Coturnix japonica: one gene and its partners. The protein of the gene in region 2 interacts with the protein of the main gene of each other region in a pairwise test. Links are inferred from orthologs where the notes say so. Each region holds a gene or a part of one and is shown on either strand. Other genes may lie near its edges. The genes, in order: USP8, SNCA, cytochrome c, ARFGAP1, ARFGAP3, BCL2L1 and CSNK1D.

What was found.
Region 1: the proteins of SNCA (region 2) and USP8 interact in a two-hybrid assay, tested with the Homo sapiens proteins (2 studies listed by BioGRID, with this or other methods). The link is inferred for Coturnix japonica from reciprocal best matches to the Homo sapiens genes SNCA and USP8.
Region 3: the proteins of SNCA (region 2) and cytochrome c interact in binary tests that used the Homo sapiens proteins (3 or more experiments, as listed by UniProt). The link is inferred for Coturnix japonica from reciprocal best matches to the Homo sapiens genes SNCA and CYCS.
Region 4: the proteins of SNCA (region 2) and ARFGAP1 interact in binary tests that used the Homo sapiens proteins (3 or more experiments, as listed by UniProt). The link is inferred for Coturnix japonica from reciprocal best matches to the Homo sapiens genes SNCA and ARFGAP1.
Region 5: the proteins of SNCA (region 2) and ARFGAP3 interact in binary tests that used the Homo sapiens proteins (3 or more experiments, as listed by UniProt). The link is inferred for Coturnix japonica from reciprocal best matches to the Homo sapiens genes SNCA and ARFGAP3.
Region 6: the proteins of SNCA (region 2) and BCL2L1 interact in binary tests that used the Homo sapiens proteins (3 or more experiments, as listed by UniProt). The link is inferred for Coturnix japonica from reciprocal best matches to the Homo sapiens genes SNCA and BCL2L1.
Region 7: the proteins of SNCA (region 2) and CSNK1D interact in binary tests that used the Homo sapiens proteins (3 or more experiments, as listed by UniProt). The link is inferred for Coturnix japonica from reciprocal best matches to the Homo sapiens genes SNCA and CSNK1D.

The regions. Positions count from the first base shown.
Region 1 is NC_029525.1:9,615,978-9,619,477, forward strand, and holds part of USP8 (ubiquitin carboxyl-terminal hydrolase 8), read right to left. Parts: intron 2,948-3,500; coding exon 2,867-2,947; intron 2,541-2,866; coding exon 2,278-2,540; intron 1,865-2,277; coding exon 1,652-1,864; intron 1,273-1,651; coding exon 1,062-1,272; intron 489-1,061; coding exon 252-488; intron 1-251. UniProt on the Homo sapiens protein: Hydrolase that can remove conjugated ubiquitin from proteins and therefore plays an important regulatory role at the level of protein turnover by preventing degradation. Converts both 'Lys-48' an 'Lys-63'-linked ubiquitin chains.
Region 2 is NC_029519.1:31,290,067-31,294,261, reverse strand, and holds the start of SNCA (alpha-synuclein), read left to right. Parts: upstream 1-1,395; 5' UTR 1,396-1,563; intron 1,564-1,826; exon of another isoform or gene 1,827-1,847; intron 1,848-3,006; 5' UTR 3,007-3,031; coding exon 3,032-3,152; intron 3,153-4,195. UniProt on the Homo sapiens protein: Neuronal protein that plays several roles in synaptic activity such as regulation of synaptic vesicle trafficking and subsequent neurotransmitter release.
Region 3 is NC_029517.1:29,070,673-29,074,847, reverse strand, and holds cytochrome c, read left to right. Parts: upstream 1-1,375; 5' UTR 1,376-1,652; intron 1,653-2,095; 5' UTR 2,096-2,103; coding exon 2,104-2,272; intron 2,273-2,650; coding exon 2,651-2,799; 3' UTR 2,800-3,863; downstream 3,864-4,175. UniProt on the Homo sapiens protein: Electron carrier protein. The oxidized form of the cytochrome c heme group can accept an electron from the heme group of the cytochrome c1 subunit of cytochrome reductase.
Region 4 is NC_029535.1:7,875,794-7,879,992, reverse strand, and holds the start of ARFGAP1 (ADP-ribosylation factor GTPase-activating protein 1), read right to left. Parts: upstream 2,801-4,199; 5' UTR 2,581-2,800; intron 1,510-2,580; 5' UTR 1,506-1,509; coding exon 1,446-1,505; intron 840-1,445; coding exon 730-839; intron 1-729. UniProt on the Homo sapiens protein: GTPase-activating protein (GAP) for the ADP ribosylation factor 1 (ARF1). Involved in membrane trafficking and /or vesicle transport.
Region 5 is NC_029516.1:62,853,434-62,856,933, forward strand, and holds part of ARFGAP3 (ADP-ribosylation factor GTPase-activating protein 3), read right to left. Parts: intron 2,468-3,500; coding exon 2,336-2,467; intron 458-2,335; coding exon 374-457; intron 1-373.
Region 6 is NC_029535.1:9,011,652-9,015,622, reverse strand, and holds the start of BCL2L1 (bcl-2-like protein 1), read right to left. Parts: upstream 2,801-3,971; 5' UTR 2,629-2,800; intron 1,836-2,628; exon of another isoform or gene 1,711-1,835; intron 1,295-1,710; exon of another isoform or gene 1,165-1,294; intron 1,087-1,164; exon of another isoform or gene 969-1,086; intron 776-968; 5' UTR 666-775; coding exon 114-665; intron 1-113. UniProt on the Homo sapiens protein: Potent inhibitor of cell death. Inhibits activation of caspases. Appears to regulate cell death by blocking the voltage-dependent anion channel (VDAC) by binding to it and preventing the release of the caspase activator, CYC1, from the mitochondrial membrane.
Region 7 is NC_029533.1:4,236,074-4,239,573, reverse strand, and holds part of CSNK1D (casein kinase I), read right to left. Parts: coding exon 3,402-3,500; intron 3,032-3,401; coding exon 2,861-3,031; intron 1,499-2,860; coding exon 1,350-1,498; intron 795-1,349; coding exon 623-794; intron 132-622; coding exon 1-131. UniProt on the Homo sapiens protein: Essential serine/threonine-protein kinase that regulates diverse cellular growth and survival processes including Wnt signaling, DNA repair and circadian rhythms. It can phosphorylate a large number of proteins.

The DNA of each region.
Region 1 (3,500 bases), on a different chromosome or scaffold from region 2:
ATACGATCTATTTTTGTTAATTTAGAAGAATTAAACAGCAACAGACTCAGATCTGTTCACATTTCAGGTTGGTGCAAATTAAGTGGGAGCACTGAAAACTGAAGGGTCACCTGGAGCCAACTGGGCCACCTCCTGCTGCTTGTCCCGGACCACATCCCTGTCCAACAAGGGACAACCACAACCACCCTGGGAAGCATCATAACAAAGCCAAAGGGAAATGTTTTCAATGTTTGTCTCTAGTGTCACCTTACCTGCAGTGTGCATTTACTGGTGGATGCAAGTGGTAAAGACAAATACATGAAAGCCTCAAAGGTCCGGGACTTCTTGTGACACGTGAGACACTGCACTGTCGATTTGAACTGGCCTTGGAAAAGTGCCACAATAATGGATTCGTTGAGCTGTTTGTGCTTCTGCCAGGCCAGTTCTGCTGCTCTCAGGTCATCGAGATGATCGTTGTTTTCTTCCTTGTATCTTTTCCTGTTGTCAGCCTGTATAACAGATGTTGGAATACCTTAGCAGTATATTAACGTACTTTAAAAATAAGGAAGAACATTTAAATGACATTCAAATGTGTCAGGACAGCCTTCTTGCCTGAGCTCTCTTCCACTGTTCCCATCAATATCTTACGCTTTACAAAACTGAATTCTATAATCCCAAATACTTAATTTCCTTCTATACGACATTGCAATAACAGAAGCAGCAATATGTATCCGCTGCAAACTAATGCAGATTTTAAACTTCTGCTTTGGGATTGATCCTGTTTTCTTCCAAAAGTCACCTGCTACACAGCCATAACAGCAAGCCATGTTGGTAATGTAAGACTTGCCAGCCAGAGGGATGTCACAGAATTGGGACTTTGTCTCCAAAGAGCCGTTTCTGTGCCATTAAAGCTCCATGGGGAGCTTAACATGCATTTGTGCTGGCTCTTTCAACCATACCCAAAAGGCAACTCCATTTGTACAGGAGGATTTAAGCTGTGTGCTAGTGCTTCGTAAGGCATTTTATGTTTTATTTCTCATGCTCATTTAGCAGATGTACAACTTGTAATGTATTTGGCTTACTTTATTGAGGTCTTCGTGCAAACCGTCCATTAGAAAGAGAAGCAGCTCCTGGGAGTCTTGCTGGCTGTATCCTGCAAACTGGTCGTTAATCTTCCCAATTGTAATTTTGAAGTCTTTTGGACTGATATATTTATACTGTCCTGTCCACAAGGCTTTCATTATTACTCCAAACTCTTCAGCCACTTCACCTTTATGCCCCAAGAAATTGGACCTATACAATGAAACAGATCCAATAAAAACAAAAAAAGCTGTTAGTCTGAATTGAAATTTCTGCCTACATCTATGCTATAATTTGAATATTCAACATTGGTCCGATAGAAGGCATCGCTATTCCCACCTTGCTATGCCAGCTGCTGTGGAAGTGCATTACAGTCAACTAAACACAACCAACACTTATGTATGAATGCACTCAGCAGAATTTAGTTCAGGCTGCCCAAAAAAGCCTCTTCTGACCCACTACTGAATTCTGAGAAATCCCTGGAAAAAATCTGCAGCTCTACTCATCTGACTTTACAATTGTTAATTAACAAAACACTTGCAAATAAAACAAAACAACTGCAAATAAAAGGATGAGTATGAGAGATCGTTACCTGTTAATATCATCTTGATACAAGTTTCTGTTAAAATACTCAGCTAGATGAGGTGCGTTGCACAGACACTGTAATATGGAGTTCATGTAGCAAGTGTTCCCTAGATTACGAAGTCCTGTAAGAGCTGGTCCCGATCCCCCAAACACGGGATTAAGGTTCCTAATCTGTGATGCAGAGAGTCTTGAGATTTCTGTTTTAGGGTAATAGATTGGTCTGAAAAGAAGGATTCATTTATTTTTTAGCAGTCTGAGAGTTGATAAAACCACGCGCACAACCCACCAGAAGCAAATTCCCTCACAGGCGGCGAAACATCTGAGCACAACAAGTCACCCCAATGACATCATTCAGTTTACTGAAGACCAGTTAATGAAACAGCGACAAATCCAGATACATTGGCCTACAGCCAGGTTGAGGTATGGACTAAAACAGTACTTATTTATTTATTTTAGTTAATTATGTAATTAACAGCTAATTCTTCCCATTTAAACATTAAGAATGCTGTGTTTCACAGACTGAAAATGCCAGGAGACTGGTATTTCATACATTAACACAAATACCTAACGAGCAACTGTCATCCCACAACAAGCTATAATTGCCTAAATTGGGATATAAGTTATCAAACATACTTATTTTCACGATTGACCGCAGGAGTTACAGGAATTCTTTTCTTCTCCTCCTCGTGAATGGCTTGCGTTATATCTGGGGATGAGTACGAGCGCTTCAATTTGGAGGGTTCTCGTTCCCGCTCGGCAGCCACCTGCGGTTTGGGTTTGTGGGTTGGCGGGGTGGCTGGAGGGGTGGATGAAGGAGCCATTTCTGGTGGGTACATCTGAACGGTGTTCGTTGGTGAGTGATAGTAACGAAAGGTTCCAGTGATTGGATCCAGAAACTTTGGGGAGGAAAAAAAAGGAGTTTTAAAACGAGGTCAAGATCTATTACAAACCCTACCCATTTCTGAAGTACTGTAGGAATAATACATGAGTTTCTTAAACGCTGAAGCCTTAACAGTAGTTACTGTCCAATGTGCATCTAAACAGCAACTCCTCAATACTACAATCAGCAGATGAGCTTCCCTGATTTCATTACAGGAAATCCAGAAAAAAAGTCAGAAAATAAATCAAAGAGACAACAATACAGATGTGACTTTAAAATGTGGCGCCGAAAGGCGCTAGGATATTGCACAAGCTCGATTATGACATCAGAATAGAAAGTTACCTTGGCCCATCCTTCAGGCAGTCCTGGTATTATCCTCCCCATTTCTTCACTTCGCGCTCTGATCAATGGCTCCCGCTGAGACTAATAAAGACAACAGAAATGTAAGGCACGTACAGTTACCTGCACAGAGCAGTGGGCTGCCTGTGACTTCTCTACATAGCTGCACGATCGAATGCAAAGCAGTTCAATGAGAATTCCTTCGTGACAGCTGAAAACGCAACTCATGGTAGGACATGAAAATGGTAACATGGTACCACTATTTCATACCACTCAAGGTAGACAAAAGCCCTATGCTGACATGCTCCAGGAAAAAGACAATTCAGCTTTGCAGTAGCCTGACCACTCCACTCCTCCCATAGTTAAGCCACTCTGTTAGAAATACGTGCTTTTGTTAAACACACAGCAAAGATCTCCCTTCCCAACTAGTACGAAACAGTACACGTGAGATGAGAAATGAGTGTGGAACAATTGTTAATGCCATGAGGAGCACATGGAAATTTCTAGTGAAAGTCTCACAATTTTTTTGCAGATGAATGTGGCAAAATAAAAGAAACCCAAACAGCTATGAGCATAGCATGGTCTCTTCTTACAATAATGACTTTGAAAATTAAAGTGAGGTAGAATTTAACATGAA
Region 2 (4,195 bases):
CTATGTAGTGGGAAACATCCTAAAGAACAATCAGCATTGACTTTGCCAGGGATCCTTTGGACGGCCTCATCTGAAGTCTCTGATCACCTACTCATCTATTGTCTCTGAGTAGAAATGCACTGCTGCTGTGTTGGCTTCCGTACCACTTGAGCTGTTGCTTTTCAGAGTATGGATTTACTTAAGGTCCCAGGGGGACAGAGCTGCTTTCCACTCAAACACTGACTATCTAGCCAGACAAAGTCATTAATTTGAGATGTTATTGTTGCTCATGTAAAATGTGTTATTTCTGCAATTTCAACCTTGACTGCAAGTAAAGTGTAGCTCATGATGAATAGGATGTGCAATTGCTGGATCATTTGCTAAGGATTTTCTGGAGAGCAGAATTATGAAGGAATGGTTTGTGTTCTCAGTCAGCACCTTCTCACACAAAAAAATACATTTCACCAAATGTTTGCTTGGTTAAATGTAGTAGTGGAATGAATCCCAAGGAAGATTACCAAGCGGTAAAGAAACATTAAGAAACCTGAAAAAGAGAAAACTCTGCACTGTGTGCTCAGAATGGAAATAAAAGCAGGAACCTGTCTGCTGTCTGCCCAGTATGATGGATGGAAGGTGCTTTGTGCAGCTCACATCCCTGTGTCTCATCTGTACCAAGCTCTGCTTCTCCTTTGGAGCGCAATGACAGAACAAACTGTTTTTGCAAGGTTTTGCAGGATCTGTACAGCATGCTGACTGATGTACTGATGCTGAAGGTCCATCTGTTCTAATACCTTGTTTTCCACTGAATTTGGCTTTTCATGCCTACGCTCTGCAGCAATGCAGAGAAGTGACATTGCCTTCCCTTTCTGGGGAAAAGTGACTTGAGTGTAACAGACCAAGAGGGGAAATGCAGTGGCTCTGGTCTGTACAATGGAGACCAACAGGTGTGAGGCTGGGCTTCTCATCCTTGTTTAGACAAAGATTTTATTATATTATGCTGTGGGGTTAAGGATCTTGTTTTACCTACAAGAGTATTACCTGCCATCCTTAAAAATGAGCTGGGAGCGTGAATCCTGAGAGCGTTCACCTCAAGTCACTCCGGCCTGAAGGCTTACGAGAGGAAGATAAGTAACCAAGAGCTCGGGGGCGTTTTCTGAGCCGTGGGTGAAGCGAAACAGGTGTGCTGAATTCACTAGCAACAGCTTGCTCGCATTGCTTCTGAGTGCTGTGATTCAGCCGCCGGGGCGAACAGCGGACAGGTGGTGCCACGAGATGACCAGGACCTCAGCCTCCCCTCTTCTTTCCTATCCTTACCTCCCACCCCCACGTCACGACGCATACCCGACCCGCAGCACATTCCCACCCAGAAGGGGATGGAGGCTGGGAGCCGCCCCACCGCCCCCGGCCCCTCCTCCTACCGCCCCCGCCCCGCACCCTGCCTCTCCTTCACACTCGCTGCCTGCCTTGCTGCCGTCGGGAGAGTTGGCGATGTGCTGAGAAGGGGCAGCTCCCATCAGGTCTCTCTGCGCTTCGCCCTCCTCCTGCCCTGCCTCCCCCCGCCTTCCTGCAGCGGCGGACCCAGCGGTAGGTGGTGGGGAGTGCATGAGAGGCTCTGCTCGCCCTGGGGCTGGGCAGCCGCAGGGGTGGGTGTGCGGACAGGTGCATTTGTCGCTCAACGTGTTCTCCTTTGGGCACGAAGGAGGAAGGGAACGGGAGGGGAAACCAGCGGGCGCCGCGGCTGCCGTGTGAGGGAGCCGCTGGGTGCTTATGTGCTCACGTAGCCCTGCCCTTCTCCTCGGATAGTCCGTATAGATACAGACACATACATGTGGGAGAGCCCTGCGCGTTCTTTCTTCCTTCCTCCACAGGTGCCCATTCTTTTATTTAGACTGAGCCACGTAGCCATGTACTGCTTTCTTCCCTCGCTCTGCACCCAGGTGCTCCCACACCTGCTCTCGGTGCTGCCTACGGTGTCAGTGGGGCACGGATTCTGCCCTTCTGATTGCCACGGGTTAGTAGCAAGCTCCCCACTGTCTTCCTAGACATCCCTTCCTCCGGCGGAGGGAAAGAACTAGCAGGCAGTGCATCTTCTGGGAGGGGGAGGGGGAGAAAGGGAAGGGGCTGTCGGCGACGGGATTGTGAAAGGGGTGTCTTGCTGGCTTTAATTACTGTCTTTGTGGCCTAATTGTAGCGTAGGGCTGTATAACTGCCACAGAACCTACTTGCTAGCTGTAGTGTGGTGTTATTAGTGTAGCATGTTCTTGCCTTTGCTTTTTTTTTTTTTTCCTCCTTAGTCTTGATGCATGTGCAGGATCCCTTTTGAAAGCTCAAGTGCTGGCAGAGCAATATGGGCTGCATGCAAAATGCTGGGTTGCTGGAAAGCAGTTTTGTGTTTGCTCAAGTCCTTCTGGAACATTAGTGGTTCTTCAAACAACAATGAGCGAACGTTTCTCATTTAGAAGAAGCGTTTGTAAAGTTGTTAGTTTTTAAGTTTTTCCTTTGAATGAGAAGGTGGAGCATCAGCGAATGATGGGATTAGATCTTGTAGTTAATAGACAAGAAACTGTCCTTTGGAGGAGATGGTGGTAGGCAAGGAATGGATTTGTTCCTTTCAGTGAGTGCAACTTCAAATGAGAACTGCGTTATCAGTGACCTTTCTGTACGTTTCTGTGGGAACTCCTGGGCCTTTCAGGGACTACCTTAGCCATACTGCTTAACTTGAACTTGCTCTGTGGTAGCATGTGAGATGTAAAGGTGAGTTGTGTAATGGAGCTCCTTTGTTTTCTAGTTATTTAACTGTTTTTTGTCTATCTGAAATACTGAAAGCGATCCTAGATACAGAGAGGTATGTGTATATTGCTAATACGGATGTAGATGGAAGTTATATAATATGTGAGTATAAATAATGTATTTCAAAAGTATTTTGATGTGCAATCAGTTTTAATAAAATTTTCTGGCAAAAAAAAAAAAAAAAAGCTGAGAACCATTATTTAAAGTGTGTTTGGTATTGTTTTTTTTTTTTTCTAGTGTTGTGTGAAGAAATCCTTCAGCCATGGATGTCTTCATGAAGGGACTTAACAAGGCAAAGGAAGGGGTTGTAGCAGCAGCAGAAAAAACCAAGCAGGGAGTGGCAGAAGCAGCAGGAAAGACGAAAGAGGGAGTCCTCTATGTGGGTAGGTGGGCAGTGAGGTTGTGCTGCTGATTGGTGTACCCTGACAGCCCCGCTCATCTGAAAGAAAGAGCTGAATTCTCTCTCTTCTCTGAAATATGTAATCACTCATAGGAGAGGATTAACTGCAAAGTAAACATGATGAGATTTGAACTCTCCTGAGCATAGGGTCTTTGACGATTGTTGCTTGTTTGTTTGATTGCTGTTTGTTGTGTGTCATGTATTTTTTTTTGGTTCTTGTCACTGTGTGTGCTGGTCATATGGGGCTGCATTTGTAATGTTGTACAGGATAAACTTGCCTGTTGGAAGAGGCCTTACAATGCAAGTTACTGACTGGCCCTATTTAAGATGCTTGCTATATGGGAGGTAAATTCACAGAATCCTGTAGAATGCCTGAGTTTTAAGCAGGATTTTTAAAGAAAAAACTTGAGATGTTGGTTCTGGAACTGAATCTAAGACGTGCCAATGTCTTTTCCTGGAGTAGAAGGAAGATAACTGTACACCCCATAGAAAGGAGCTTGTTTTCTTTCTTCACTAAATAAAGGTCCTCAGCAGTAACATTTTGAATGGTGAGGTGTCAGCTCCTTGTTTTTCAAAGTTAACCTAATGTTCTATACTTACTATTGCATATCCTCAGCAGCTATTTTCCATGGCTACTCAAAGAAGAACCTTTACGGTCACTGAGACAGTGGAGAAAGTGGGAAGCAGATGTTAGTTGACTTACCCAGACTATGCGAGTACTTTGCATGGAACCCGGGGAAAGATTCTTTTCAAATCTCACATTGGACTGTTGACGACACAATCATCGTCTTCACTTAGAAACTACCAGGCCTTAAAGTACTGTCTCATAAATGCCATAGTGAAAAATGAACAGGAAAAAAGCTGCCAAGAACATATGAATAGGTCATTTAAACTGGAGGAATTCCATTTTATTTTTTTTAAGTTAATTTCAGTTGCATGGTAGTAGAATAGGAAGGAAAATACACTCTTTTCTGTAGATTCGTTCTTTTTTTATGATTTGGCAGCAAGTCAATTCTGTAATGGATG
Region 3 (4,175 bases), on a different chromosome or scaffold from region 2:
GTGTTGATAATGTGCCAATGTTTTAGCTGTTTCTGTGTAGACAGAATCAAGGACACTTCTGCAAGCAAGCAAGCTGGCGGTGTGTAAGTTGATAGGAGGGGGCAGAGCCAGCACAGCTAACCCTGACAGACCAAGGGGATATTCCATATCATGTGTCATCATATTCAGCAATAACAATGTGGGGGAAAAGGAGGAAAGGGGTATTTTCAGAGTTACGTTGGGTCTTCCCAAGAACCCAATATGTGTGATGAAGTTCTGCTTTCACAGAAACGGCTGAAAATCTGCCTGTCGGTGGAAAACAGTGAATTAATTCCTTATTTTTCTTTGCTTGCTTATGCAGCTTTTGCTTGACCTATTAAACAGTATTTGCCTCAAGCCATAAGTATTTTTCACTTTTGCCTTCCTGATTCTCTTCCCCACCTCTCTGTGGAGAGTGAGTGAGCAGCTGGGTTGCTTGCCTGTCTACCAGGGTTAAATCACACTTTAATCTTTTCAATAATGGCAAAATATACATTGAGTGCAGTCCAGATATTCAGTCTAATAACACATTTTTCAATTGAAAAAGGTATATTTGTCAAAAAAAAAAGGAGAAGATATGTATCACAAAACTGAGAAGTAAACCATGATCTCCTGAGTTCCAGCCTAGTCCCAAGATGGCGATCTTTGCTCTTTCATCTGCTGTGTAACTCTGAAGAGAACTGGCTGGATGTTTTGTTATATTTCCTCTAATACTTTGATATATATTTGTTCTATTTTCCCTTCTTTCAGAACGAAATTACACTGCAATAAGCCTGACTGCAAAATCATCATCATTCCAGTCTGAAATGGTCTGAAGTAATAAAAAGATGAAGTTGTTTGAGGTACAACCACTGCGAATAACTGAAAGCTTAAAACACAGCTGTTCCAAGCAAACCACATCCAGGTCAACGTCCCAATTAATGTTATTACATTAAAGTTATTACATCTAGAAAAGTCACAGTGCACTGAAAATATCCTTCCATATATAATATATATAATATCTGGGACTCTGGTTTCAGACTGGAGTTCAGCACTGGCACAAGTCCAGGTGATCTCTTCATTCAGCTGCCCTGGAGATCCGTGAATGTCCCCACACGTCATAAGCAGAGCAGTTTTATTGTGGTAACTTTACTTCTGGTAGCGGTGTTTAACGTTAACACCTCACAGCGGGGAGACACTGAATACCCCGATGACGTCACGGACACAGCCCAGACCCCGCCCCCCGCTGAGGACAGAGCGTGACCCTCACCTCCCCTTCCGTTGTGCGCATGCGCCGCAGACCCTCCCGCGTTCCCCTTTACGTAGCGCAGTTCCGCCACACGACTTCCGCCGGAAGTAGTAGGACAGGGAGCCCGGCGCCCGCCTTTGCAACCTACCCTGCTAGTCACCGACGTCGTGACGTAAGCATTGACGGACAGATGTTACAACCAATCAAAATTCCAGCAGGCTGCATTTGATTGGCTACTGAGCCACAGAGGGCGGGTGGAGTACCGGCGCCGTTTGGTTGCAGCGACACCGGGTTACATAGGGCGGAGTCCGGCGTGTCCTTGGGCACAGCAGCCGGACGGCGCGGGGCGGTCGGAGCTGCAGTCAGCTGTGTGGGTGCGGTGTGAGCGGAGCGGCCGGCTGGGCAGGTACAGGCGGGCGGGGTGTGCGGGTGATCAGGGCCTGATTTCCAAGCGGCGCTGTCTGGGTCTGGAGCCACTACTTGGCCCGGCCGTTAGGCGGGATTGGGGCGATAAGGGACGGGGCAGTGCGGCTCTGACCCTGCTCACACTGCGGCCTTGAGGATCCCTCAGCTGGCAGCGGAAGGTCACGGCGGGGCCTGCTCTGCGGGAATTAGATGAGGCGTGTTTCTTGTTCTTCAGGCATAAAGCGTGGCACCTTAATAGTGTAATGGTTCTATGCAAATCTTCAAACCCTAGAGCTATAACTCGTGGCTAGAAGGCACTCAGAGTTCACAGATTGGTTTACAAAACTGTAGCTACAGCCCATCGCTGTGAACCTTTTTAAAGCTTCTGTTGAATAGCTGACCTTGATATTGTGATACTGACCTCTGTATGTGTTCTTGGTCTAGTACCGACGATGGGAGATATTGAGAAGGGCAAGAAGATTTTTGTCCAGAAATGTTCCCAGTGCCATACGGTTGAAAAAGGAGGCAAACACAAGACTGGACCCAACCTTCACGGCCTGTTTGGACGCAAAACAGGGCAAGCTGAGGGTTTCTCTTACACAGATGCCAATAAGAACAAAGGTAAATGTAAAGCAGCTCCTCCTGAGCTACTGGTGGTTCTTGGGGATAGTCAGAAGTACTGAAACCTGCAGAAAGCAAAAATAATATTCAGGCTGGACATTAGGAAGTATTACTTCTCGGAAAGGGTAGTCAGGCACTGGAATGCACTGCCCAGGGAGGTGGTGGAGTTACCAGCCATGGGAGTATTCAAGAAACGCTTGGATGTGGCACTGAGGAATATGATTTAGCCAGGAAGTATTGGTAATGGTTGGACTAGATGATCTTCTAGGTCTTTTCCAATCTTGATAATTCTGTGATTCTGTAATATGAGTGAGCAGGAAAAAAATATATATATTCATTTCATTTTGAAGTCACTGCTTGTCTATTTCTTCTTGCCAGGTATCACTTGGGGTGAGGACACCCTGATGGAGTATTTGGAAAACCCAAAGAAGTACATCCCAGGAACAAAGATGATTTTTGCGGGTATCAAGAAGAAGTCTGAGAGAGTAGATTTAATAGCGTATCTCAAAGATGCCACTAAAAAGTAAAAGTTATCTGCTGCCTTATTTATTTCACGTAGGAGTTGGCAATGGAAATGTCTGTGACAAGATTGGTTTTTAAACTTTCTATTTTTACATATACCATGTCTAACCTTAAAATCAGTTTTACCCATCAGATGATGTTGCTCATGGTGGGTCACTGAAGAACACACTTGGCAGCCGTTAACTTATGAAAACTATGTAACTGGGTTGATTTCAATGAGTATAATGTTCAGTTGTTCTTAATCATGAAATTAAAAACAAAAAAAAAATATATCCTGCCTCTTTATTGTTTAACACACAAAAAATGTATCAAACAAGTGTCAAAAGTGTTAATAGCTTTGACAACCCTACTCTTCAGAATGAAAAAGCAGAGTGGGTCTTGGCATCTTTCACTATAAGTCTTCTGCTGTGTTACACTAAAGATTTAAAAGTAAAGAAAGACTTAACAATATTTTTCTAAACTTGATCAGTTTTAGGTGTTGTGGTGCGTATTAATCTATCTAAAGCTTGGGGTAAGAATGCATCTCTCAAGTGCTGTTTGTTCAATGACACTTGTGCCCAGATCCTTTGATCTAGGAGAAACATGTTACTTGATTTATCTCGACTTTCACAGTTGCATGCACCAGTAGACTAGAATTCTCCAGCATCATCTTTAAGTCTTCTTGAATGTTATTGAAACTCTCTGTTCAGTACATCTCCGGAGGGCAAACGTTTGTAGTATAATGAATGAAAGAAGAAACACTTCTTCTGGAAAGGTAACTACTAAAAGCCAAGATGAGAGCTGATAAATCTTATTTCAGCAGTAGCATTCACCTAAAACCTACTGTTACACACAGCTGCTGATGGAGACGCACAGCAATGAATGCACTGGTAGACTAATGGGAAACAGTCTTCTTCTGTGCCTGGCTATAGCGTGTGTCATTAACAGTGTTGAGTAATATTTTAGTGTTTTAATTGTTTAGTGTTTTTTTCATGCTAAGCAAACTGTTCAGATGAATGTATTTACTGTGTATCAACAGTAAGGCACAACTTAGAGTGATCAATCTTGTACATTAAAAGAATTCAAAGTCCTGTTGGCTGTATGTGTCTGAAACCGAAATGGTGGGGTCATATGGGCTTTATGTCACTACAGGATGAGCAAAAACTCAGCGTGAAAAAAGTAAGTGCTAATAGAGATTGTGTGAAAGGTACTTGGAAGTGTGGCAGAGTTAGGAAGTATTTTGAACTAGAAGCAGCAAAGCTAGGCTGGGTAGGCAGAATATTGAAATGGAAGCATGTAAAGTTGTCACTTATTGAGGTTAGTATGAATGCAAGTACCCGGGTGGTACTTCTTTGTTGGTTTCTTTGTTAGGTTTTCGATTTGTTTGTGGAAGGGGATGTAA
Region 4 (4,199 bases), on a different chromosome or scaffold from region 2:
GCAGGGACAAAAAAAAAAAGTTTGGGGGTACAGAAATGTTAATAAACACTCTCAAAGCATGGAAAGAAAGAGTGTCTTAAGAAGGCGGTCAAATCCTCACTGAAATAAGCAAAAATAAAGTACTGGCACTTGAAAGACACTGTCAAGAGAAGGAAAGTGATAGAAAAAGCAGCTTTCTCCAATGAGCCAGGAAACCTACCATGCTATGTAAAAGAAAACTTCACTTGGCAGCTTTGCTTTCCCATCTACTTTCAATATTACATGTGAGTGCCCTGCAAGGCACCTCCTGCCCCTGCTTCATGCTTCTGCTCACAATGACCACCAGGTATGACAACTCAACTGCTTAATGCAGCCTATGCTAACACCTACCATGACCTCATCCCAGAGCATTCATGACTGCAATAAACACGTCAGCTCTACCCTGGGCCATAAATTCTTGCTACTGTTCATTAAGTTATATACAAAAAAACAGAGTGCTATTATTAAATGTAAGGTCGTAACCTCCAGCTGGAGATGCTGCTTTCTAGACCTGGGCACGACACAGCTGCACCAATGCAGATCCCAGCTAATTCCAGTGAAGGCAGAGAGAATAAAGCTCACTTTGGAAAGGAGCACAAAGCAGAAGTGCCCAAGAAATGCTGAAACTGAAGATATTCTGCACCCCTCCATAATAATCCTTTCTGTTCACAGCCATAAAACCCCCAAAGGAAACCCAAGTGCAGGGCTGACCTGAGGTGGACTCCCAGGCCTCGGTGCTTTCCTGAGCACTCCAGACAGATCCAGATTCCATAGGTCACACTCACCCACTGGGGGTTAAACGCACCGCATTCAAAACAGACCTGCAAGAGAGAAAACAATCATTTCTAACTCGTAACCAGCTCTCACCCACACGGAAGTTCCCAAAGTACAATATTTGGTCATGAAACTGTCGTGTGCAGGAATTAAGTTCAGCAGGGAAAGTTCTTTGTGCTGGAACCACCACCCCAGGAGCATAAGCTTCCCTTAAATGTTTATTTATGCTGAATGGAAAGCCCTCAATTACCTGAGCTGTATTATAAAATCACCACATACCAAACACCAGTAGGGAAAGACATAAACAAAATGAAGCTGTCTGAGGGCTATCACATTTAAGGCAGCATTCTATCAAGCTATTTGAAATAGACAGTTTAATTATACCCAAGACATCACTTGCTTGGACTCCAGGGCTTACAGCACTCAGAGCCCCTGAAAGCCTTGTGCCAAACACACAGCCATGTGTTACAATACATCTACGAATCAATGTTACTAGGGCTAATGCAAACACAATACATCCATATTTCTCTGCTACCATTACTTAGATATACAAGCACAGACACAGGTTAGTTTGTATGGACAGCAACTAGATGTGGAGCAAACAGAAAGACAATTCAGCTCTGGGAAACTACAGTAAGTTACAGTTTTCTCACATTGTTCTCATCTTGGGCTCTGACTTCCTTGAGAACTTTCCTCGTTCTTGGACTTGCCATGATTCTACAAAAGAAGAATAACAAGATCTGAGTCATACTGAAGTGACTACCTGTGAATAGAACAGCGTAAATGCAATTACACACACCAACAGGTGAGACAACAGGGCTCAGAAAGAAATAAGGTACAATAAAGGAGAGGGTGTATGAACCAGGTATGTTTTATGGACCAAGCCAATGCCTGCACCACTCAATTGGTCACAGACTGCACAAGTTTCAAACCCATCAAGGTTTGCTTTGAGAGCAGTAATCAGACAGTACACGACCTGAGTTTCCATAGTAGGAACTTCTAGCATGCTAAAAGCAGCACTATGTAAACTGGTGTGAGCTGTGACAGGACTCTATATGGCATGGCTGAGATTGGATGAGAGCTCTCAGATCCACAACCCAACACCACACCCAGTAACCACATCCCTGAGTGCCACATCTTCATGTTGGGCATCTCTATGGATGGAAACCCCCCCCAACACACACATACACACACAACTACATCATTGAGTGCCACATCTCCATGTTGGGCATCTCTATGGATGGGAACCCCCCCCAACACACACACACAGCTACATCCCTGAGTGCTACATCACCATGTTGGACATCTCTATGGACAATAACCCCCCCCAACACACACATACACACATACTACTACATCATTGAGTGCCACATCTCCATGTTGGGCATCTCTATGGACGAGAACCCCCCCAACACACACATACACACACAACTACATCCCTGAGTGCCACATCTCTATGTTGGGCATCTCTATGGATGGGAACCCCCCCCCAACACACACATACACACATACTACTACATCATTGAGTGCCACATCTCCATGTTGGGCATCTCTATGGATGGGAACCCCCCCCAACACACACACACACACACAGCTACATCCCTGAGTGCTACATCACCATGTTGGACATCTCTATGGACAGTAACCCCCCCCAACACACACACACCAGCATCACCGCTCCTAAACATCCCCTAACGCCCAACCTGAATCACCATGAAGCCATATGGAGCTGCCCCGACTAACAGAACAGCTGTCATAGTGTTATTACACCCTATAGGGGCTGCTCACCGAGCACAGCGGGTCGGGCTGTTCCTCCACCGAGAGCTGCGCCGTGCGGATCCGAGGCGAGTCCGGGAGAAGCCGCTTCAGAACATGGTCAGACACCTCTAAAATAAGAAAAGCAAAAAGAGAGAGATAGATAGAACAGAAGGACTAAACGGGGCCCGGAATGGAACGAACGCACAGCGCAGCCGCGAACGGCGACGTTGCAAAACAGGGATGGATTGTGGGAGCCGGGTTAACCCGTTGTGTGCCGGGCGGGGCGGAGCTTGGGGCGGAGCTGAGACGTGGCGGTGTGAGAGGTGTGATGCTTTCTATTCGTTACTATCGGTACATAAGAGATTAACAAGAGCTATTTCCATTAGCAGCTACACGCAGAGCAGCCCCTGCATCAATGAGATGATAACGGGACCATCAGCGAGTGCGTCCAAAAGGGGGAGAAGTGAAACGTAAAGAAAATCCTGCTTTGATCATTTGCTCTTCCAAGTTAAGGACAAAGTGGGCTCTATTTGATAAGAGCTGTTGTTTTCAGGTAAACACGGACCGGTGGTCAATGAGGTTCCCATCACACACACTGTATGATGAGATCTAATGAGAATATTCATCTCAGTTTTGCTGTCGATAGAAGCAGTGGCTGTGTGCTCACATCCCACGTTCGGTACTTGCACTCACAGCCTCAGGGGAGCAGTGTTGGGTAACGTTTTCCATCTATAGTGATGCTGCGCTGAGTTCCTGATGGCAGCTGTTTGCTTCGTGTCCCAAACGCACACTTTGGTCTTCCTGGACCCAAAAATACTGCTACCAACCAAGCAGTGCTGCTGTGTTCACACTGCAAGCTGCCCCCAGCCAGCAGTCAGCATTAACCTGTTGTGTGCTGAGATGGAAGGTGCAAAGTCTGGTTTTCAGCAGGAATGAAGGGAAGCCACATGCATCTGCCTCCCTTAGTAAGCATATAAGTGCACGCCATTCCAATTTGGGCTGGCTGCATAGCTCTCATCCCATCTCTGCAAAATACCTATTGTAAGATAATATATGACACCATACTAATCACATTTACAAAGGCGTCCTTCACTGTATTCCCAACTCATCCCTTTCTCTAGTTACAAACTGGCTCTGTCATGAAATTGCAAATGCTTTTTGCACTGCTGTCATTGCTGTGGTTGTTATGCCCAGAGTCACCCACAGACGAAATGCAGCGAGGAACAAATTATAGGGTAACATAACAGAAGATAAGGCAGGGACAGCAGTGGGTATTGCCACTGGATGTGGAAATGCAGCTGGGAGCACATGGAGCTGGGAATGCTTGTTGGTGTATGTGCTTGCACCACCAGTATGTCACTGAGACATCTTTTGTGTTTCTGCAGTGACATTTCATAGCTGGAGTCAAAGGAAAGCTGCTCTCGCCCTTCTGGATCTTCTTGTGTCCTATCATTTGAGAAATGCAACTGTTGCATGGCAGCCTCAGGCGATCACTCGGTGTCAATACCCATAGACTTTAGCAGCTGCATTGAATTACTTCTTGGTCATGCTGCCTCATGAAATTGCAGCTGGAAATGTGGCTGCAATCATGCCAGGGACTCAGATTGCAGGGCAGCAATGTCAGCTGCCACAGCTCACTTCTCCAATGG
Region 5 (3,500 bases), on a different chromosome or scaffold from region 2:
GGAAGGAATAAAGTACCTGCTTAGCCAATGTTTTAGGAACACTATACTGATTATAAACTGAAGTTTTCACTTAGTAAATTTAAACCAGGGCACTCTCACATCAAATGGCTCAGTCATGAGTCCAAGTGGAATTGCGTGCCTAAGAAAAATGGTTTTGCTCCACATTTAGTTATTATTTAGGTAATTCTGAATTATCATCACAGAAAGTCATTCATATTCAGGAATAACTCCAAGACCCACTGAAGGATGAGAAGATAAATGAGTTTAGCTCAACAACCTACTGTTTAAGATTTTCTTTCAGGGTCTTAATCCTTGCAACAGAACACACAGTTATCCTAATACATTTAGAAAGCAAAGTAGAATCAACCTATACCTTGGAAGAAGCATGGGATGCAAAAAAGTCCTCTTCCTTGTGCTGAGGTGATGCAGGTGGCATTCCGCATCCATCTGTCCACAGCTACAAGTGTTTAGAAAGAGGATCAAGGTGAAGGAGGAGATTATTAATTTTACAGGACAGTTGCATTAAGGTATTAAGGTATAAGCGCACTTATCTTAAAACTACCTTTTCTTTTTTTTAAATCAGGTTAAAAATTCAGTGATTTTCTTTTCCTAAGTACTTCATCCTTACAAATTTATTGGAGTATATGACATTCCTTGTCTTGATTCCATGTCTGTGGTATCTTCCTTCCCAGTAACCATTTCCTACCTAACAAAATACTCGGTATAAGCTCTGCTGCAGTGATATTATTAATATTTGATATCACTAGAACTTGATCCTAAAGTTTTTTCATATTCTCATATAAGAACAAAAAAACCAAACACTAAGAAAATACCATGGTTTGGTACTTCGATGAATTGTCCCACTTGGTCTAAGAGTTCCAAAACCTCTACTACACCTACAGAAAGCTTTTGCGAGATGCTAAGAGTTCTCAGGATAGGCCGCAGAGCCCTAAGTGCTTCAGGTCATTCTTGGAACCCTGCAAGACAATACCTGAACTTGTGATCTACATTCCAAGTTTAGAAGGTTCTTTCTAATACATGCAAAAGACATTGTACTGAAAATAAGGACCACTTCCAAAAAGGTTACGAAATATGCAACAAGATTACCTCATTACTGAATAACCAATTGAACCAGCAAATGAATTTCTTTTAATGTGACTGGTACAAACACTAATTACTGAATGACACACTTCAACAACACAGACAGCACATCATCACTTAAGCCTGTAGTATATTCAGAAATATATTTACTATTTTTTTTATGTAAGAAATAAACTATTAATACAGATTTCATCCAAAAATTCGGTAATCGAAGGTTAACACAGTTCTTTCAAGTGTCATTTGGGGAACTGGATGCCTATTTAAATGCAAATAGTATATTAAGCTTACTTGTTTTATATCTAAAGTAAAAGAATTCTCTGAAATCAGTGATGTGAATCATGTTAAATGTAATATCGTTACATAGGGTTATTATAACTCACTAAATTTCATGCTGCATTATGTACAGACTGAAAGAAAGAAAAAAAGCAAGAAAAGCATATTGTGCTTTTTTTCTAATTCCCACTCATCTGATCAACTTCAAATGAAGTCAAGTCATGGACTTGAACACACTGAATTAAACCATCAAAGCATTCATTCTGTGTACGCAAAACAGAATTGTGTCAAACTTACTTAACACCTCAGCAATCTCGTACACTGCACAGTTCACTAACGACTTCTTCCTGTAAGCAATGTAATTTCAAGGCTCTGACAGCATGACTGAACTGCATCAGCACTTCTAACAGAACAGCATGCTCAAAGCATGTCATTTGAGAATTTTTCAAGTACCATTTTCATACAAAATTTACCTATTCAAGCCAAAACCCTGCTAAAATCACAACTATTTTATAGATAGCTATTGGCGCTTCTATGTTTTTACAATTCTGTACTTCTAAGTAATAATTCAGCTCCAGAAAGGCAAAGCTAATCGTAATTCGTGGAGAAGAGCTGGCATATTTATTGCACAATAGCACAAATACAATTTTGCAGTACATCTGTGAAACAAAGTAATACCCATTTGGAAGAATACCTGAAGTTTCCACCTGCAATTCTTCTAAGTTACTGTAAATGATACAATTAACATTTTGAGTAATCCAGAAGTGATTCTGAATTATTGGGTTGAGCTCTACCCTCAATATCTGCTGCAAATAACCTACTCCACTTCTTGCCCTTTCATGACAATATGTAGCAGTACTTCCAAAACAATCATCTTCCACATTGCTAATTAGAAATTTAAGGTGGTGGTTAAGGAGTGGGAAGTGTTTCAGAAATCTAAATGAGGGCACACTTGACTTACATCAGTACCATGCTTTCTTGTTGCTTGTGTTGCAAGAGATTTAATCTTCTCCTTGTAAAGCTGAGCAGCTCGACTGTTATACTTTGCATTGGTGTCATTTGTTGTGCATCCATGTTGATGGAAGAAAGCAGACTATGAAGCAAAACATATAAAATGCAATAAGAAACAAATTTTGAAACAAATGCCACTTAACATCAATACACACCTTAATGCAGAAAAATGCTCTCCTCCTGTATCTAAATTTTCTAAACTATGAAGTCCATGTAAATCTCCAAAACAAGAAGAAAATTCCATTATGGCAACATATGGACACATAAAGCAACAAAAACAAACACATTAGTGGGACCTTCTACAAGTATATACAATTCAAATCATACAGAATTATTCCTATCTCTGAATCTAAGAACTGAAGAAAGGAAGAGGTAACTGACTGCCAACAGCTTTGCTTCAAAAGATGTTTCTGGTATTCTAAAAGACATTGCTTGGCTTCATTTCAAGCATGCTAGGGAGAACAATGTATGTTCAACTGACTTTTTACATGGGCAGATAGCAATAGGACAAGGTGGACTGGCTTTAAACAAAAGTGGAGATTGAGGTCAGATGTTAGAAGGAAATTCTTTACTCAGAGGGCAGTGAGGCCCTTGAACAGCTACCCAGAGAAGCTGTGGTGCCCCATCCCTGGAGGCATCCAAGCCCAGGTGGGGTGGGGCCCGGGGTAGCCTGAACTGGTTGAGGGTTGGCAGCCCTTCCTGCAGCAGGGGGCTGGAACTGGATAAGCATTTCTTCCAACCCAAGTCACTTGACAATACTATGATTCAATAGCATCAAAATGATTATACAGAAATGGTCTTCCTTTAAAAACAACAACAACTACACTTCCGTGTGTGCGTACATATAGATACGCACTCTCTTTTTACATGCTTATTTACATACACATACAAAATTTGTTTGTAAGATCAAAACATGGAAAAGCTAGGCATGTTTTTCAGTACCTAGAACTAACTAGCAAATTACATCATATGTTCTTGCATAAAAGAAAATATCAGACCATTACAGTAAAACATGGTAAACAAGTTTCTGATAGGGTCAGCAAATCCAGATAACTGAAGGTTAGAATGTCAAATGTAAAACCAGTGCGCAAATACTAGACTTTGTAAAAAAATAA
Region 6 (3,971 bases), on a different chromosome or scaffold from region 2:
AAATTCTTGCCCTGCAAGGTCTAGACCGAGCACAAGCACAATCACTGCAGGCAGCTTGATCTGGCCTTGAGCTAGGATGCAGGGAGCCATCCCTATGGGAGAGCAGTTCTTACCCAGCCGCCATTCTCCTGGATCCAGGGATCTAGATGGTCGGTCAAGTACGTGGTCATCCAAGACACAATGCGTCCCACCAGTACCCGCATCTCCTTGTCCACGCTCTCCACGCACAGAGCCCCTCCGAAGGAGAAGAAAGCCACAATGCGCCCCCAGTTCACACCATCGTGGAAGAGTTCATTGACTACCTGCTCGAAGCTCTGGTACGCCGTGCCAGGGGTGATGTGGAGCTGGGAGGTGAGGTCGCTGAAAGCCCTCCTGTACCTCAGCTCAAACTCATCCCCTGCTTCTCTCAGCGCCTGCCTCACGTCAGATGCTCCGACGATTTCATGAACTTCCATGCTGCTCCGGTGCACGGTGGCTCCATTCACTACGTGGCCGGCAGGCGGGTGCCACGATGGGCTCCCGTTGAGGACGCTGTCCATCTCTGCCTCTGCCGCAGTGTCAGTCCTGTTCTCATCCTCTTCCTCCAGCTCGCTCCAGCAGTGCCCCTTCTGCGAGAGCTTGTAGGAAACAAAGTCAATCACTAAGTCCCGGTTACTGCCGGACATTTTCACACCTGGAACGCCCTCAATGAGTCCATGGTCCAGTGCACGAGCAGATAAGCACACTTAGCAGCTCCCGGCTCCACGCTCCCTCACCACCGGCGAACACATCCGACCTTTGCACAGACACACAGAGAGGAAAAGAGAGGCAAGGAAACGGTTAACACGACAGCTTGCTGCGCCGTGCACATCAATAGCTTAACGTTACACTGAGCTCATCACCCAGCTTCGCTCGGAACCGCCGCCGCACACGGAACGGGGATCCCCCCTCGGGGTCACCCTCAGCCCTCCCGCAGCCCCGGGGCTCACCGGGCTCAGGCAGAGCCGGGGCTCGCCGGGCGGAGGCTGAGAGCTGCGGGTGCTGCGGGCGGCCCGGCCCCGCTCCGCTCCGTCAGTCCCGGAGAGACACGGAGGCGGAGGCAGCACCGCCCCCGCCCGGCCCCTCCCGTTAAAGGGCCCGGCCGCGCCCCCCGCCGGCATTGCCCAGCGGGACCGACGGTGTCCGAGCTGGGTTACGGGCTCCGCTTCCCGTTCCCATCCCCGGTGGCTCGGCCCGGCCCCGTGTCCCTCGGAACGGCCCCCAGCGTGGGGGAACGGGAGGGAGAAAGGCTCCAAGTGTCCTTTAAAAGCAGCAGGTAAGAGGTGCGGGGGTCTCCTTTGGAGGAGAAGGGAATGGCAGGGCTCAGTGCAGTATCACGGTATGAGGAGCAGGCCTGGAAATAAGGTAGGAACAGGAACAACCCCAGGAGAAGTCTTCTAAAGACTTCCAGCAACTACACGCAGATGAAACCACAGATGAAATAAAGGGTGTTTGTTTGTAATGTTATTTAAACTGAGGTCCCTGCAGTCGTTTGAATGCTGTTTCCTCTGCACAGCCCCTCCTCCCCACGAGGTATTACAGTCCCTGCATGCACCCCAGCAGCCTTCATGCAATGCATTCCCCCCACCCTGGGGGCTGCAAGGAAAGCACGGAGGGGCTGCTCCTCCCGAAGCCCCATAGCAGCGGGCAGGCAGGGCTGCACAAAGCACAGAGTCACTGTTCTATACTCACCCACACCCCAACCCTGAGAAAAAGGGCAGAGAAAAGCCTGGGAAATAGCAGCTCGGGCTGGGAAACAGCAGCTCGTTCCTTCTGGCTGAGGGTGTTGGATTAAAGTAATTTGACGCTGAGAGGAGGCAACTCCCCAGCCCTCCCACTGTGCTCTCATCCCACTCCACCCCTCCTACCCTCCCTCCTATTCAGTGCCAAGGCTCCGTGCCCTCCTGGTGCCCCCAGCCCTGCCAGCCCCTGGGAGGTCCCACTGTTGTGGAGCCTTTTCCTTCTCCAAAAGGCAGATAACGAAGCGTTCTGATGTATGAAGGAAGCAGGGGCCGCTCCTCTGCTGGCGGCGTTGAGCTCTGAGTAATTGGCGTTTCTTTGTAAGGTTTTCGTGCCAAAGCCTGGCGGTGAGTCAGAGTGTGGGGCAGGACTGGGGCACAGGTAAGGGCTGCAGGGCAATGCAATGCAATACAATGCAGTACAATACAATACAATGCAATGCAATACAATACAATGCAATGCAATGTAATGCAATGCAATGCAATGCAATACAATGCAATGCATGGAGCACTGAGCTGGGGGCAGCAGGATGCAGAGCCCGGGGTGCTGCACCCACAGGGCGGCTGAACAAAGAGCTCCCCCCCGGTACTATGGCAGGGTCTCGCCGTACAGCCCGGCTTCCTTAGTGCCGTCACTCCGGTCCCCTCGTACCGGTGTTGCTGTAGGCCGTACCCGCTCCCATGGCCCCTCTCGGCCGCCGTCCCCACTCACGGGGCCCGCACACGAGGGCCGCCATAGGGCACACAGCCCGCCCCTCGCCATCAGCCAATCACCGGCCGCCACAGCTCCGAGAGGGCGGAGCTAGAGAACGGCCTGCTTTGATTGGTGGAACCGCCCGTCACTCACGGCCTGCCCCGCTCCGCCCCTCACCTCAGCGGTCGGTGGATGGTCCGGGCTGTGACCGATCCCGCTCTATGGGCCCAACCGGTGACGACGCAGGGCTCGGCCGGGAGCCCAGCCGGCCGTCGGGCCTGTCAGCAGTGCCCGGTGTCCCGCCGCATCAGCACCGAGCGGACATTGCGCTGCTGGGCCGAGCCGGGGGGGGCGGGAGGGAGGGAGGGGGCAGCGCGCATGCGTGCGGCGCCGCCGGTCTGAGGTGCGGTGCGCATGCGCCTGCGTGCGTTGTGCGGCCGTGGCAGTGCGCATGCGCAGCGACAAGGAGGCCGGTTGGACTCGAGCGCCCCCTGGCGGCTGCCCCGCCCGCAGGTGCGTTGTGTTCCCGCAGCACTCGGGGCTGTGACTCGGAGCTGAGCTGCAGCCGGGGAAAGGCCGGTGTGGCCATAGGGCTGGATGAGGCGGCTGCTTGAATCCATGGCCATAGAGGGCGGTGTGAGGTTAGTGAGGGGCTGGGCGGGGGGATCCTTATGGCTGCTGTAATCGGGTGACTTGACCTGTTGGTAACAAGGAGCAGACTCGGCAGAGGGCAGACACGGGCGGAACCGGCCCTGCCTGGTAGACCCGCCTCCCTGCAGCTGATTGGCTGTTTCAGAGCCCCGCCTCCCCTGATTGGTCGAAGCCTTTCTCTCCCTGTGCATGATGGGAGTAGCAGTTTGTTTCTGGTGCTGAGGCTTCGGTTCCTTCCGTTCGAATCCTACATTTCCCATCATCCCCCGCGGGAGGGGCGGGAGCGCTCATCCGGGTTCTTTAACGTCTGGACAGCCCGTCCAATCAACACGCAACGAGGGCGTGAGCTGAGCGTTGATTGGTCCATTCGGACAAGACGAGTCCCGTTTGAAATCCTCTAACGGCGGCGGGCAGAAGCCCCGCGCTCGGCGGCTGCGGCGCTGAGGTGAGTGAGGAACGGGGGGGGACACCGGGAATCAACGGCAACCGGGGCTGCCCACAGCCGCACACAGCCCTTCCTGGTGTTGTCCCCGCTTCATGAGTGTGCCTCGGTACCGGCAGCACGGGCTGCTGTTCTGCTTTGGGCCCCTTTGTCCGCTTGTTGGGGGTAGGCCGCAGCCTGACGCTGTGAACGGCTCTGAGGGGGGAAGGGGAGAAAGCAGTGTCTGAAATGGGGGAGAAAAGGGATTTGATGCTTCGGTATTGAAGTAAAAGGGTCAGGATGAGGCCATTGGTGCCCCTTGGTGAGGCCATTGCTGTCACATTGGCTATGGTTATACTGCTCTTTGTGTTGCTTGAACGTCAGTTTATCTAATAATAAGCAGAGGTTACCTGCCTATAAATAACCCAGCCGGTTCCTTGGGCTGCTA
Region 7 (3,500 bases), on a different chromosome or scaffold from region 2:
GGACATGCGAGAGGTGTCTTGTCGGCCTGTTAAGTCAGACGATGAGACATTGACTGGGGCACCACGGTGCAACCTCATACTCACTTTTCTTTCTCGTTCCATACCAGACACCGGTCGAGGAGATGTGTTGGCTGTGAGAAAAATTGCATTAGAATTTTCAGAATGAGGCATGTAATAAAAATGCAGTCACTGGAAAAATTACGCTGTTGGCGCATGTAAATTCTACAAGATCAAACCAGAGAAATCAAGGCTTTCATCTTATATTCGCAGATAACTCTAAGTAGCAATTAGCAGGTAATGAGTGTGTGTAATTACCTTCAATCTACGGAAAATTAAAAGGGAAAAACAAAAAACAATCAGGCCAGGCTGGATGTGACTCTGGGCAGCCTGGTCTGGTAGTTGGCGACCCTGCACATCACAGGGGGGTTGAAACTGGATGACCATTGTGGCCCTTTTCAACCCAGGCCATTCTATGATTGCATGAAACAAAAAAGTCCAAATGCTGACTCACTCAAACACCACTCCCATATCCTTATTTTATTTTCAAATTCCAATGACCAGGAACAAACTGCATATTAAAGCAGACTGGGAGGTGCGTCAGCCCATATATTTGCTTACTTACCAGCATGTGAAGTTGGGGTAAGAGGAGTAGGAGGAGCTACATCTTGCGTTCCCCTCAGCCTGCCAGAAGCAGTGGAGGGCAATCCACGCACAGCTGGGTTTCGTGTATGTCTCAGCCTCTCCTCTCGTTCTCTCCTTTCACGTTCAGCATCTTCAGCCCCTCTGCTTGCACCCTACGGGTCAGGACTAGTGAACAACTTAAAGGATTATTGAGCTTACAACTATACATTTGAATAAATATTGACAACGAAGAACTGAAGTTTGAGGAACTTGTTTGATAGGTTACCAATACCTTGGTAAAATTTCTTGAGAACTATCATAGATTCAGTTCATACAATCACTGGGATAGTTCAAATCGCTAATAAACACACACATACTGTTATGGCAATTGGACACTTCCTAAACTGTTGTATGTGAGATGTGATAAAGATCAAGACAGGTAAAAATAAGAAGTCAGCTACCCAATGTGGCAACTGCCTCAAAGGAAGCAGCTTAGGAAGCCTACTACACTGACAATCCTGTAACTACAACTTCGTCATTAAATCCCAATCTAAAGCCTCCTTTATGTCCTGCTTTTCTCTACTTCCTCCCTCCCCTCATTTTTAGGGCAACAAACCTTCTGGGACAGAACACTCTTAAGGTATCAGTTAAGAACCCAAAACTGACAGTGTGATTAAAAAAAATAGCATTACAAAAAATTGTTTTAGAAAGCCACACCAGCTACTCACAAATTTCAGCATGTTCCAGTCAAACACATAGTCATAGGAGAAGCCTTGTCTGTGGAAGAGGTTTCTGAATAACTGCCTTAGGTAGGAATAGTCAGGTTTGTCATCAAAACGAAGAGAACGGCAGAAGTTCAAGTATGTGGCAAATTCAGCTGTAATAAAAGAAAGCCTGTTTTTCTCCTTCAGCTTCATATTTGGTTTTTATGGCTCAGAATCATTAAAAAAATAACAACCACGACACAGAACCTCCCAAACATACAAATACTGACATAGTACTAGAAATCTACTGAAAGCAACACTACATCCCCCCTGCCAAGTATGGTCTGAAAAGAAAATTGTCTATCACAGATTAGGCGAAGGCTCCATTTATCCATAGCAGGTAGGACTGTGTTAGGAGGAAGAAGAAAGTTTAAAACTACATTTCAGCAAAGGAAAGATTTACTTGTCCTTTCCTTGCTCTGAATGTACTTAAACTTAATGTACACAGAATAGAATCTCTTTGCTAAAATACCAGCTATGCAGTAAAAACAGAACATTATTGTGTATTCAGTGCTCCAGAGATACACCAGTGTCAATCTACCAGCTCTTGACTTTAAGGCTTTCCACCTAAAATGATGTATTAATAATTCACATTAAGTAAGGAATTTTAGGCAACTGTTCTTGTGTTGTTTGCCATCTTGTCTGTTCATCCCAGAGGAAAGAAATAGTTTATGAGTAAAGGAACATGCACGACAGGACTTTTGGAACACTCAAAAGCTTTCATACATCCCTCACCATAGCTACAATTCTCATCATACTTAGCTAACACAGCACAGGGCAAGGAAAGAAGAGAGAGAGATCACTTCCTGAAAGGTGAACAATATTCCCTGAGGGTAACTAATACATTAACAAGTTTTGAAACATAGTTATTACTCTGCATGAATCAGAAATTCTTTTTTATTACTAGGGTGTAAACACCAAGAAAAGAAACTGAGCTTTGAGGGATGATGCCAGGATCTGGAGGGATTCTTACACCCCTCACAGATAATGGCCACGGTCAGGCTGGACTGGATGAACTTGGAATGACAATTCCAGAACAACACAATTGCAATAGATGCAAATGACTGTACAATCTGGTTTATCCAGAAAGAATATCCACACATGAAGAGATGGGAAGCTTCTCAAAAAGTTATTTGGCTGTTAATAATCATCCTGCCAGAATTTATGCATGCACACACAAGACAGTGCAGATCACATACACACACTATGCTGTCTTTCAAACTCAAGAGCACCACAGTGATTGCTTACTAATAGTTATGACAGAGGCTAAGTAGAAACAGCCTACGAACAGACAGATCCTGGTCTTGAAAGCACGGTGTCATTATTATGAGCATGCCCAGTTGTAGGAAAAAAGTCAAGAAGACTGTAAACAGGCTCCAAACACATTGTGACAGAGGAGCTAGAAAGCATAAATAAAAAAGACATACCACTAAAAAATGAATACATGGGCCTAGTGACATAAAAGAGCAACTTACAAGGATATCCTTTACACAAAACCTCAATGGGTGTAGACATTTTCTTTTCACTGATACGTTCGTATTTCTGTCTCTTTGTTGCTGCTTTCAGTCCCTGCCAGGGGAGGGAGCCCAGGTTAAAATACATCAGTACATAGCCCAAGGACTCCAAGTCATCTCTGCGAGATTGCTCTACAACAGCATAAAAAAGTGGACTCATTAGGTTTCATTATCTAGTGGGAAAAAACAGAAGACTGAGCAATAATGTGTCAAAAACCCTTAAAATACAACAGACAGATGAAAATCACTACATCTGTGTCAAACTCACCCAGTATTAGAAAAAAAAAACAAACGATCACACTTGCAATTATTAAAGAAATGTGTCAATTCCTTAGAATTACAAACTGAACCCCACCCCAAGAGGCATAAGTCCAAGCACAATGTGTCATGAGTGCCAGCAATAGGGTCTGTCTTCTATGCCCCAAAAAGCATCATCAACTTGCACTGAAAACACATGTATCAGCACTTGTGAAGGTTCTATTCATTGCTTTTCCCAGCTCACCAATTCCAAGATGAGTGTTGATGGATGCATAACGGGCAGTTCCTGTTAGGTTTTTGTTTTCACGATATGGGATATGTTGGTGAGTTCGGGCATCCCGGT